Linked DNA regions of Mus musculus: region 1 is reported to be linked to region 2. The links are microRNA targets in miRTarBase. Many come from high-throughput screens and were not tested one by one. Region 2 holds a microRNA gene; the other region holds the end of a gene's coding sequence.

The links. Region 2 holds the annotated microRNA mmu-miR-7212-3p (UAACACACACGUCUCCAGGUC, at 2,632-2,652, shown strand). A microRNA usually pairs through its seed, bases 2 to 8, with sites in the 3' UTR of a target mRNA and lowers its output. Matches are read on the target gene's strand: a 7mer-m8 pairs with bases 2 to 8, a 7mer-A1 pairs with bases 2 to 7 and ends in A, and an 8mer does both.
Region 1: miRTarBase lists Adat1 as a target of mmu-miR-7212-3p. The part of its 3' UTR that is shown has no 7-base or 8-base seed match.

The regions. Positions count from the first base shown.
Region 1 is chr8:111,963,748-111,970,555 of GRCm38, forward strand. Adat1 (adenosine deaminase, tRNA-specific 1) reads right to left here. Exons shown (of 10, transcript NM_013925.5): 10 at 3,151-4,797. The coding sequence ends at 4,659. Among named protein-coding and RNA genes, the nearest start is that of Adat1, 25 kb to the right of the region's middle.
Region 2 is chr15:25,945,636-25,952,443 of GRCm38, forward strand. Mir7212 (microRNA 7212) reads left to right here and starts at 2,592; the gene lies at 2,592-2,652. The region is part of intron 3 of Retreg1 (reticulophagy regulator 1); the gene reads left to right.

The DNA.
Region 1 (6,808 bases), not on the chromosome of region 2:
CCTTAGCTCTGGATGGACTGAACTCCGTAGGCCACGCTGGCCTTGAACTCAGAGGTATGCCTGCCTCTGCCTCCTATGTGTGAATCTAAGGTATGTAATGCCACACCCCACCCAATTAAGAGATGCTAAAAAGTGGAACTAGGGAAAGCTCTGAGCCAAGTGCTTGCTTAGCATGCGGAAAGATGCTGAGTTTGATTCGCAGCACACAACTTTTTAAAAAAATGAGAAAGCCTACCCTACACTTGAAAACACTTGCGCAGCCTAGTTGCTGGTACTTGCTTTTGTAGAACAGAATGGAGGTCACAAGTCAAAGGTTAAATGCCTTCCCAGCATACAGCTGGTTGTTGGTGGCAGAGTTGGTACTATCATGTCATTTGCATCCATGGCTGTACTCAAATTTATTCTGATTCCAAGTAATAAGGACTTTTTTTCTAACACATTCTAAATTGAGGTATAATTACATTTAAAAAAACAACAAAAAAAAAAGGAGCACAGAAAACTGTAGACCTTCATAAACTTCCACAAGATCTGCATTCCTCTATTTAATACCCTAAGTAAAACCCTGACTGTTGGCCAGGCATGGTAGCACCCATCTGTAACAGCAGTTTGGGGAAACTAGGATGGGAACATCACAGAGTTAGAGGCCAGCGGGGGGCCTCCTCCCAAAACATCACCAAACAAACAAACACTACCAACCAAGCAACGTGTGGTTTTGTTTTTCCTAGTGCAGGAGACTGAAAGTAGCAACTTGCACGCATTACCAAGTGCTGCCTCCCACCCACTGTCCCCAGTCTAAATAAATACTGACTAAAAAGGCTGCCTACTCCAGCTCTGAAGCGTCTCTGACTCATTTCTCTCTGTCCTTTGGGCTACAGGACCACCTGAAAATCATTTGGGATCTACTTGGATGGCTTTACAGGGAAACAGGCTGGTTCAGTTACAGACACAGCTAGTTTTAATTTCGGTTTTTTGGTTTTGCTTTTGTTTCTCAGGATAGAAGGTAGCCCTGAATGTCCTGGAACTAGCTCTGTAGACCAGGCTGGCCTTCAACTTTTATCAGCTGGAATTGAAGGCACGCACCAACACTGCCTAGCTTGCTTTTTTTTTTTTTTTTTTTTTTTTTAATGTTTTTAAAAAGATTTGTGTGTAAAGTCAAGGCAACTATGATTCTGCAAAATGAGGTATACAATGAACTATTCTGCTCAGAAAATACTTTCTCTCCTCGACCTCGGCCTCCCTGGCTCTGAGCTCAGGCACAGTCAGGATGGTGTGGCTGTACATCCGGAGCCTGCCTGGCTCTTTCTGAATCTAGCCACTCCCTTTGGTTAGCCAGCTCAGTGCCTTTGGGAAGGTTTGCTTGGGCTCCTGAACAAACACACACACACACACACACACACACACACACACACACACACACACACACACACACACACACACACACACACAGACACGATACACAAGTTCTGGTTTTATTGGTGGCAGGATGGCTGTTGTTTAGAAACTGGAAAACTCTGGCTTAGGAACCTTGTTCTAGGTCTGGGTGGAGGCAGCTTTCCAGCAGCCACAGACACAAGCAGGTCAGACAGGGGGCCTGCACCTCTCCAGCTGGCAACCAGGGCAGCCCCTTCTTCTCCACAGCAACTTCCTCAGTGAGCTCATGCCTGGCACTGGGGAATCCATAAAGCATGGCATTTGACGTGGCATCCCTCCATCCTGAAGAAGAACTATGTGCGCACACAGGTGGTGGCAGACACGGCTGAATCAGATTAGGTTCTGAAAATTCTGAGGAAAACTCTCTCTCTCTCTCTCTCTCTCTCTCTCTCTCTCTCTCTCTCTCACACACACACACACACACACACACACACACACACGCAGAGTCATAACATTAGACCCTATTTAGGCACACACGTAAATGTAATCTTTCCTCCAGAGCCAAATTTGCCTTTTTTTTTTTTAGTTGAAGACACAATTTTGTGGAATTACGCATGGGTTAGAGTTGCTGTTCCAATTCCTGTGCAGCTTCATTTCTGAGGGGCTTCTAGTTTTTCTACAGTTTAAAATATAAAATCCTTCACATTAATTAAAAAAGACCCCTGGGTGGGGTAGCACTGGTGGTTGGGCTGGAGCATTTGCCTACCATATGGAAGGCCCTTCCTAGTTTCTCTGATGAGATGGGGCAAAGGGTCCTGCTGGCCGTCCTGTTCCTGGTGGTGGTCTATGGGCACCAGTGGAGTGGATGGATGGGGAGTGGGGACACGCATGAATGTCCTCATATTCTCTGATTTTACCAAAGAAACCAGGTTTGCTGCAGCCAGGGCCCAGAGAGGACACAGGAGGGACACAGGTCAAATGATAATCAGAGCCACCTTTTCTCTAGAGGTCTTCATGGGTTTGGCCCAAGGCTCACACTGGACAATGTTGCCTGACTGAGGATAAACAGGATACGTGGGATAACTTATGGAGAGGGCTGCTTTCTGGCTTGGGATTTTAGGAAGATAAGGAGTTCCAGGGCAGCCTAGGTTTCAGAAGACACAGTCTGAGACCAAGCAAGCAAGCAAGCAAGCACTTGCCAGGATTACAGAGATGTGATGTTAAGGCATACATACAATTCTAAACTTTTCTTTTTTGGGGCTTTATGAGACAGGGTTTCTCTGTCTCTGACAGACAGCTTTGGCTGACATGGAACTCCAAGTGTTGGCATTAGAGGCATGCACCCCAACCCCCCAGTGTAAACTTGGGTTTTAAGAGCATAAACTAGGATGCAGGCTGTTGGATGTTTAAATACCACCTTTAGCGCTTTGAGACAGTAAGTGAAGCTCAAGGGAAGTTGCCTTTAGTGGTTAGCCTTCAGTGTTTTCTACCCAGATGCCAGTGACTAAGGGTGTGAGTAAACTTGACAGATTATAACTTTAGGAGTAAAAATATATTACTCTTTGAGACCCTTTCTTCCTACTGGGTTTGGGTTGCCTTGTCTAGTCTTACTGCAACTTGCTAGGCCATGGTTGGTTGATATCCACTGGAGGCCTGCCCTTTTCTGAAGAGAAATGGAGGAGTGGATGGGGGTAGGGGAAGGTGAGGTGGGGGAGGAAGGACTAGGAGGAGAGGGGAGGGGAAAGTGCAGTCAGGATGTGAAATAAGTAATTAAAAAATGTTACTACTTCACATTTAATTCAAGTCTTTATAATATAAAAATCTCATAAAAGAACACTGCATGGTGGCACACAACTTTAATCTCAGCACTCAGGAGGCAGAGGCAGGCAGATCTCTGCATTTGAGGCCAGCCCGGTCTACAAAGTGAGTTCCAGGATAGCCAGAGCTACACAGAGAAACCCTGTGTGGAAAAACAAAGCAAAGCAAAGCAAAGCAAAGCAAAACAAAACAAAACACTATAAACCACAGTGACATTGAGTAGCAAGCAGAGCTTCTGCTTCCAGGTGGGAATAAGCTGAGTGCTCTCTCCTAGGTGACAGTTAAACAGGGTTAGCTGCTACGTCGTTTGCTGATTTGTTGTAGGAAATTAAGGCATTTGGGAACTGAGTTAAAAAGAAAACAATTTAGTCAGAACAGGAACCTGGTAAGATTGCTCAGCTGATACAGCTGCTTACTGCCACACACACACCGTGACAGTGTGCCCCCCCCCCCACCGTGACAGTGTGGCCCACACACACACACCTCGACAGTGTGGCCCACACAGATAAAGACACTAAAGACAATCAAACCAGGCATTTGCCTCATGTGGTTTTGTGCAGGCTGGAGCCTTCATTCTTGGCTGGCTGTCTCTGTGTGGTAGGAAAAGACGGTGGCTACTGGCAGTTACAAGACTATAGTGGACCTCATGACATTGCTCAGAAGAGAATCCAGGAAGCAAAGTTTGAGGTGACACTTAGAGGCAGAGGTGGGAAGATCAGAGTTCAAGGTCACCCTTGGCTTCATGTTGAGTTCAAGGCCAGGCTGGGCTATAGAGAGAGGGATCCGGTCTCAAGCAAAAGGTAGAAGGGAGGGGGAGGGGAAGGGGGAAAGGGAAAGGAGAGAAAGAGAAAGAGGGGTGGGGAATGATGGTGGCTTCAAAGTGAGACTGTCTCAAAACCAAAACCCAAACCCAAACCCAAACCAACCAACCTTTCTTGGTAAGTCTGAGAACAGAGCTTTCCGAGGCTAGTCCTGTGCTGAGCCTGATGGTAAAGCTAACTCCAACCATGTCTAGTTGCTGAGGACTGGGAAGTGATGATGGTTACAAAGGAAGGCTGCAAACAGGAAATACATGGTTTTCATGAGTCCGGGAGAGGCTATAAAGCTTCCAGCACCCTAAGATGATTTCAGCCCAATGCGTCCTTGCTGAATCAATGTAAGGAGATCTACACCAGAGCTGCTGCAGGCTACTTTAAAAGCATCTGATGCTGTATTTTAAAGAACCAATAAAACACAATTGAAGGCAGCCATCAAGAGCATTACTGAGAGGCTATTTTAGCACGGAGCTGCTCCAGTCAAGTATAGATTGCTGAGGTTCTGCGGTCCATTTATGACACCAGAGAGGTGCAGCGAGCGCTCTGGGAGAAGGCAGCTCATTCTCCTGGGATTTAACCACCAGAAAAGCAGAGGTTCGTTCAGCATGAAGGGAGAGGCAGACCGATACGAAGGGTCCTGATACCAGCAAGAGTTCATTTAAATTGGTGGTAGTCGGGTGGGTTTCTGATCCAGGACGCAAACGGCTGTATCCTGCGGAGGGCACCCCAGGCTTCCTGGTAGGCGGACGCAGCATCCTTGTACTCCTGATAGGTGTCCAGCTTCTTCGTTACCCTAATGCACACATGCCATCAAGCACAGTCCTGACTGAGTGCTCGCCCACCCTCAGAGCGACGGAGCGGCAGGGGAGGAGCAGAGGGAGCACTCTGTCCCTCCACTCCACAGGGAGTGCATGTTAAAGCAACACAGGCTTAAGCAGGTTAGAATCACACAACACTGGCTTTGTATGGCCCGTGTACAATCAGATCAAAGCTTTCTTTTCTCTGTGGTGCTGAGGATCACAGAGTTTCGTGTACACTGGACGGTCTCCTCCTCCTGTAATCGAGCTGTCTACCCCAGCCCTGACTTAGGGTTTCTACCAGAGGTCCTAGAGACGAAAACCTTGACGGTTTTTTATGCTAAGGACATGACATGACACCTCCACTCTCCTGCTATGTGCTGCAGCTGACATCCTTTAGCCTCTCAGGTGGAAAATGCCCCGTACTCTGAGTAGCTGTAATTCTGAGGAGATTTTCTTTAGATTTGGACCAGGACCAAAATGTGGGTGGGAGTGCTCTGAGTCCTTGTCTTGGCCTTGAGTTCTGCCCTGGCTTTGTGGTGTGAGCTGGAACTCTCCAGTGTCTGTTTAGCTCTCACTCTTTCATCCCCTTCAGTACTGGAGCCAGTTCATCACTTTGGGCTGGGCGGGTGGCTCAGCCGGCAGGGTGCTTGCTGATCAGCACAAAGCTCTGCCTTTGATCCTCGGAACTGAGCAAGCCGGGTGTGGAGCATACTCCTAATCCTAGCCCTTGGAGGCAGAGACAGGAGGAAGGCACTGCCGAGGTCATCCTTGGCTATGTAGCAATTTGAGGCTCCTTGGCCTCAGGAGACACTAACTCAAAGGGGGTATTTTTTTTTTCTTTCTTTCTTTTTTTTTTACTTTCTAGCTCATTACCCTGCCTGCCTTTAGCAAGAATCCTACTTAGTATACGTCTACTAAGAATTACTCTAGCCTAGCTTTGAAATTAGCTTAGAAGGCAGAGGCAGGCGGATTTCTGAGTTTGAGGCCAGCCTGGTCTACAAAGTGATTCCAGGATAGCCAGGGCTATACAGAGAAACCCTGTCTCAAAACAAAACAAAACAAAACAAAACAAAAATTAGCTTAGAATTTTTTTTTTCCATTCTGCTCCTGGCTCAAAGTCTCCACTTGTTCATGTACTTGGGAGCTGAGCCCAGTTTCTTTCCCCTCCAATAGTCCTCTTTACCATCTTTCAAAACGTCTGAAGAAATCTTTCTTTACTACTTCTGCAGCACATTCTTCTCATTCACAGAAGATATTTTTGTTTGTTTGTTTGTTTGTTTTGAGACAGGGTTTCTCTGTATAGCCCTGGCTGTCCTGGAACTCACTTTGTAGACCAGGCTGGCCTCGAACTCAGAAATCCACCTGCCTCTGCCTCCCAAGTGCTGGGATTAAAGGCGTGCGCCACCACGCCCGGCAGAAGATATTTTTTTAATTAAAAATTTTATTTTATGCCTGTGAGCGTTTTGCCTGCGTGTCTGCCTGTGCAGCACGCTTGTGCCCCATGCTCATGGTGCGCAGAAGAGGGCGTTAGATCCCCTAGAACTGCAGTGAGCCCCCAGACCTGAGTCCTGGGACTTGGACTCTGGAGGAGGAGCCAATGATCTTAACTACTGAGTCATCATCTCTTCAGCCAGACTCCCCGGAGAGTTTTATAAATAAAATTTGTTACTGGTTGTTAAAACCAACTAAACTATAAGCCAGGCCTGGGCCAAGCACTTTACATGCAGCATTTTCACTTATATTCTTCTCAGCGATCCTGTGACATGGCTAATTATTATTATTATTTTTTAAAGATTTATTTATTTATTATATGTAAGTACATTGTAGCTGCCCTCAGACACTCCAGAAGAGGGAGTCAGATCTCGTTACGGATGGTTGTGAGCCACCATGTGGTTGCTGGGATTTGAACTCCTGACCTTCGGAAGAGCAGTCGGGTGCTCTTACCTACTGAGCCATCTCACCAGCCCCGACATGGCTAATTATTATTAATTTTCTTACCATCGA
Region 2 (6,808 bases):
TGATGTGTTTATCTGGGTCATGCAGAACATTGGGGGGTGGGGCACAGATATTGAGGGACAGTCTTTACCATCAGGATTCTTTAAAAAGAGTTCTTCCAACTGAAGATGTTCCACCAAAGGATTCTTTAGCTATTTAGGGAGATGAGACTGTTATTGCAGAAAAGAAAGAATAAGGCAGAAAAGATCTGCCTTAGTAGCTCTGATCTCAGTATCCTAAAAACATGGCAGCTATACTATAGTTTGATGAATGCTCTTGACAGAGTTATGATAAGCATATGGTATGCATACATACACATACATGTACACATATATGTATATTTCTATATCGGTTGTCACCTATAAGTACTTTCTAATGGTATTCAATTTGAAGATGTTTTAAAAAGTCCACCAGAATATCGCATCCACTGGATTTGCCCTCATCTACCAACCATTATTGAAATTAATTGTGCTGTTGATGAATTGGGGCATGGGCTATGGGTTTTTTTTTTTTCCTAAAGAGGGACTGATATTGAATAGTTGGAAGTAGGAGCTGCCATTTCCTTAAGGGTTGAGCCAAAAAACTCAAGCAATGTCATTCTCAGAACCTCATGTTAGTTGAGTGGCTCAAGAGTCCCAATTGGAGGGGAGGGGGCAAACATTCCGCCCTTTACTAAGAAGGTCTCAAAGTGTTTCTCGGCCATTTCAGTTTCCTCTGTTGGGAGTTCTATGCTTAGATCTGTGCCCCATTTTTAATGGGATTATTAAAACTTTGGTGCCTAGTTTCTTCAGTTCTTTATATATTTTGTATATTGTCCTCTTTGGATATGAAGCTGGTGAAAAGGTTTTTTTTTCCCATTCTGCAGGTGGCTGCTTCATTCAGATGACACTGTCCTTTGCCTTATAGGTTTTCCGCTTCATGAGGCTCTACTTATTAGTTGTTGATCTTGATGCCTGTCCCAGTGGTATGAAGGGCCCATTGTCAAGTTCTCAGAAGCAGTAAAGAATGTTAGTGATACACATCCTTAAGCAATACTAAATAGGTCACGTCTGAGTCCAGACTCAATCCGTGCGACCGGACCCTTGTGCACACCCCAGTGGCCAGACAGAGCAAGAGAATCCACACCTCCCTAGATGGCAGCTCAGTTGTGTGGGAGGGGTGCAGAGTCACCTGGTCTCCAGATTTCCCAAACAACTCTGGAAAGGGTTCCTGGAGGGTCTATTCTGGATGGTGTATTTGTTCTCCCTGTTTCGGATGGGACGGCAGACTATGTGGTTAGCTTGCCTTGTTGACCTTTTCTAGGATTGGAGTCATGTTTGTGTGAGTGTTGTCACAGGCTTCAGTGAGTGAAAAGTATAGCTATCTCTCAGTATCTACAAGGGAGGACCTCCAAGGCCTCTCACCTTCATTCTGCGAGATGAAATCGGTTCTGTACAAAGTCAAGTCAGGCATAGCCTTCTCCCCTGAATATGGTCAGTCTGAATTCATTGTGTTCTTGGAGATGGACCTTGTGGGCTTGAAGGACTAATGGTACTTGTGGATTCTCAAGGGGAGTCCAGGATGTCTATAAGTACTTTCTAATTGCATCCAAACAACCTACCTTGTGAGGCCATGGCTCCCCACAGAGGTTCAGGGTCAGAACTTGCACATTCCTCTTATACATTGGTGTGGTTTCATCTTATTGGCACTGTGGACTTTCTCATTCCTATTTCTAGATCAAGAGGTTTAAAGGTTTTCGTGAGTGAATAAACATACAACCATCTCTTCCTGTCCACAAATATTGGTTCTAGTTTCCCCCAAAGACACCAAAGTTCTCTCTGGAACATCACGTGTTCCTTCTAGCCGTAAGGAGGATGCTGGAATTCACCTCTGAACATTCTTCACATATCACCATTGCCCTTCCCTTTCAGTCCTTCAGCCTCAGGCTCTCAGGGGGTATCCTCCAACCGTGGGTTTGCGGTTATGTCCCAAGGCACTAAGCTGCAAGAGCCTGGGTGGCGCTCACACTCCAGGCAGCTTCCCCTGCTTTGGTACGCATGTGCTGGGTGACAGGAAGCCAGTTTGTGTGCTACACAAATACGAATCTTGTGCCTAGGAGTCTCATATGGGGTGTGCACAAGTTGAACACACATGCAGACAGAGAACGTTAAATGTTTAGTCACATGATATTTGAACTTAAGACTGGAGAATGAAAGGGCTGCTTTCTGTCCTACAGACCAGTTAAGGGTCTGGGATTCAAATACAGTGCCCTAATTTCTCCTTTTTGTGTGTGTTTGAAAAACTAGAGGGCCAACGTCCAGGGAGGAGAGGTTATTTTGAAAATTGGTATTTCCTTCAGCCACCAAACTTCTCTTTCAACTGAAATCCAGATGTTTTAGTTTCTCTGTGTTTGGATGGCCCTGCTGCAGCCTAAATTCTCTCTATATAACAAGACCCAGTCCGAGAGAGGATTCAGAGGGAAAATTACTGAGTCTTTAAACACTGCGCATGACCTTTTTTTTCCCCTTCAGCAACTATTTGTGATGCCACCAGAAAATGGAAGAGGAAAAAATAAAAATGACTTCCTGAGGGAATATTGTCCTGGGGCCTTTTGATCTGGATGGGAATGATGTCATCTGGGGGCTTGTGTGGTAGGGGGAATCTGAGCGAGACCCTAACACACACGTCTCCAGGTCACTTTGTTTCACAGCCTCGCACTCACTCCTCCGTCCTCCCTCTAGCCTTTCCATGCTCCACGCCTGTCTTCAGTGACCTCCCTTCCCAGACAGCTGCTGCCTCAGAATCCCAGACTGAGAAAGGCAAGGGGCAAACCCTGGATGTAGCAATCCCATCGTACATCTAGGTCACAGAGTGTTCTGATGCTGAAATTAGGAAACCAGAGGGCAGGAATGTCCCAGCTGTCTCTGGAGATACACATAAGGGACACGGTGACTAGGAAGGCAGCGCTACACGGCTTTGCTTCTCTGGATCAATTAGCGTTCTCCTTAGGGATACAGATGAGACGACCTTAAAAGGAGGCTCCGAGAATCATCCAGATCCTCTCTTCTCCTTCAGCCTTATTTGTGTCTCGTTGGCATGCTCTGTGCATAATCTTCGCTTCCTGGGTAAACACAGCCAGGGCTATTAAGGATTTGGCACCGTGGCCTGTAGTAGTGTCTCAGAGAGGCATCACCGGACTGCAGCAGATTCTTTGCCCAGGGAGGGAGGAAGGGAGGGATCGAGAGAGGGCTGCAGTTGTGCCTAATATGGAAAGAGGTGATGGAGAGAAGCAAAGCCGAGAATGTTCCTTCTGCCTGGCAACAGCGAGTCGTGAAGGTTTTCTGCATGCCCGTCCTCAGCGTGCAAGTGTTTCAGGGGTGGAGACTGGTGCACCCAGCACTGGGCACACTCCCCCACACAATGGTGTTAACAAGATCATGTGATGGTGATGGTGATGGTGACGATGGTGCCCCTTGCTAGCTGTGTAAACAGAGCAGAGGCAACCACATGCAAAGATTCCTGACTCAGACGTGACATTTCCCTCTGAGCTAGTTGAACTAAGTGTTTCAGTTTGAAAACAAACCCATCTTTCCGCGGTGCATCTTAAAATTATGTCATAAAACACATAGACTCCACCCTTAGGTAAGGAGAGGGGATTAAAAATATACGTATGTTCTTAGAAAAGGCAGGTGTCACCTGCGCTGAGAAGGCTGCACAAGGATAGGATTCTACAGCGTACGTTCGGTAGTTCTGGGGTAGCCAGACCACTTACCGTGGAGGATGCGGTTCCCTCCATAGCTGGGTAAACAGAACAGGTTCTAAGCAGCCCTACTGCTTTCCTTCTGAGATAGTGGGAAACCTGCTTCTAGGAACTTACCTGTGTGTGCTAAGAAAGGCTCCGAGATGTGTATTTCATTGTAAAATGAACACACATTCGGAGAAACTATAGACATAGAAATAATAGATTTGCTTTCCAGCTTGTCTCAGACACAATAAACATTGGCCCTGACAAGGAAGGGAAAGAACTGCTCTTTCCTTTGTCACAAGAGAGGGGAAAGACAGGATAGGGAGCTTTTGTGTCTTGAGTTTCCCGTGGTTTGATGGTGCATTGCTTCTTTTCCCTGTGCCAGTCCCCCTTTAAAAATTATCATATATATAATTGGTCATTCCACTCGTTTACATCTCAAATGATATCCCACTTCCCGGTTACCCCCCTGTGCCAACTCTTAATAATCTGGAAGAGGTGTGTGTGGCTCTGATGAGGATCATGAAGTCTGGAGAGCGTGCTGTGACACATTAACATAGCCAGCCGCGTGTGGGAAGCAAGGGAACATGTTTGCCCCAGAGCAAGATCGAGAGGGATGACGATTAATTGATGCCTTCTTCCGCCTCTCTCAACTTTGGGAGACCTGGCAACTTTTCAGTGACTGTGATGGCGCCCTCACCTTCACAGCCCCTCATTAGTTACAGGGGTTCCAGAGTTTTAGACCTTGGCAGTTGGTATGCAGGCAAAGCCGAAGGTTAGGTGTCTCCTTGCTAAAGCCGGGATAAACCTCCAGGACAGGACTGTTTTGAGCTTTGCCTTCGCGGTGTGTTTCACAGCAAGCCTGACAGGGCTGCTTTGCTCGTGATACAATAGTTCATGTGCATGCATTTTACTTACCGTGCACTGCAGGATAGTTTGCTTATTTATTTATTTACTTACTTATTTTATTTATTTTTTCACTTATTCACTTTATATCCTGCTCACTGCCCCCCTCCAGGTTACTCCCTCCTCACAATCGTTCTTTCCATCCCTCCTTCTCCTCTGAGCCTGAGGGGGATGGTCTTCCTGGGTATCCCCTTTCCCTGGCACATCGAATCTGTGAGGCTAGGCATGTCCTCTCCCACTGAGGCCAGACAAGGCAGCCCAGCTAGAAGAACAAACCCCACGGATAGACAACAGTTTTGGGGATAGTTCCCGCTTGAGTTTTTAGGACCCACATAAAGGCCAAGCTGCACATCTGCTGTGTACATGCGGGGAAGCCTAGGTCCAGCCCATATATATTTTTGGTTGGTGGTTCACACTCTGAGAGCCTCAAGGGTCCACACTACTTGACTCTGTTAGTCTTCCTATGGAGTTCCTATCCCCTTTGTGACCCACAGTCCTTCTTCCTTTTCTTGCATAAGAGTCCCCAAGCTCCACCCACTGTTTGGCTGTAGGTATCTGCATCTGTCTGAGTCAGCCGGCTGGGTGGAGCGTTTCAGAGGACAGCCATGTTAGACCCTTGTCTGCAAGCATAACAGAGTGTCATTAAGTGTCAGGGACTGGTGCTCGCCCATTGGATGGGTCTCAAGTTGGGTCGGTTATTAGTTGGCCATTCCCTCAGTCTCTGCTCCATCCCCCATCCCCTACCTCTGCATTTCTTGTAAACAGGATAAATTTTGGGTCGAAAGTTTTGTTGGTTAGTTGGTGTCCCTCTGGCTCCGCTGGGGTTCCTGCCTGGCTACAGGAGGTGGCCTCTTCAGGTTCTATATCCCCAATGTAGTGAGTCACAGCTGACTTCTGGTAAACATTCTTTGGCCTGGAAGGGAGAGGGCTTGGAGAGCAGCAAGGGGTGGGGTCTGATCTGGGCGCTGCTGCTTTTCTCCCCTGTGTCTGCTTATCTTCTGGAAAACGGGGTATTTCCCTCAGCCAGTCAGAGGTTGTGGGGACAAGAAGCAATAGATACAGAATGCTAATGTAGTTTTTAGTACAGTCTCAATAAATAGGAAGGCTGCCCTTGTAGCAGGTATCTTCCTGGTTCCTGGTTTGGTTGCTGGGTTCGTCAGTGAGTGTCACTACATTCAAACCATGTTTCTGAAGCCCATGACAACCTGAGCTAGCAGGCCACTGTGGTTTGTGGGACAAATCTATTGTGTTGCCTGTTTTTGTAAGTCATGTTTTATTGGATCGCTATTATGCTTTTATTTAAATATATCCATTGTTTGCCCGCTACTGCTCTAATATGTAACTGCTTCCACCGTTAGAGGTGCTCGGCTTCTGAATTAGCGGTATTTATTATCCACACATCTCTTTGTGACTGAGCTGCTAACTGTGAGGCTTAATTATAAGTTATAAAAACTGAAATAAGAGATTCAAACGAGCGTGGTTGGGGTACGTTCTGCCCATTCTTCCCAAATAACTAACTTCCCTTTCTTCCTTTGGCAGTAGAATCCTGGTTTCAGCTGGAACATGGTCACTAACAAGTGAACTCTTTCTTAGACTGTCTTACAGTTATATGACCATGTTCTAGCTGGAAGAGGGTGAATGAAAGCTGTGTATCCAATGTATAACAGTTACATGACATTAGAGAGAAAGGGGATTGTGTTCGTGGCACTCTTTTTTTCTTTATGGTGATGATGTGAACGAGTTAACGGAATAGCTAAAGCAAAGTCTTAGACCATTTGGAGGAAGTGTCATTTGAGAATAACTAAGCAAAAATAAAGGAAGGGTCCGGGATTCTAAGCATGGACATGCCCATATTGACCCTGGACCTTTAGGTTTAGCTGTCACATAGAGAAATGACCTGCTTTCTTGCTTAAGCGTCTATTACTCTGACATTTGGTATAGTAGGCAAACACATCTTACCATGCGTAGTTGGATATTTCTATGAGAATTAAGTTGAAGGCATTTGAGAGAGTTGGCAAGAGTAGGTTGCTATGAAGTTGGATGTGGAGGGAGGTGGAGGATTTGGTTGAAGTGTGTGTGTGTGTGTGTGTGTGTGTGTGTGTGTGTGTGTAGGCATGAATATTATCAGAATACATTGTATGAAACTCTCAGAATTAATCACCATTAAAAAACATATTAAAACAGTATAGACAAAAATAATC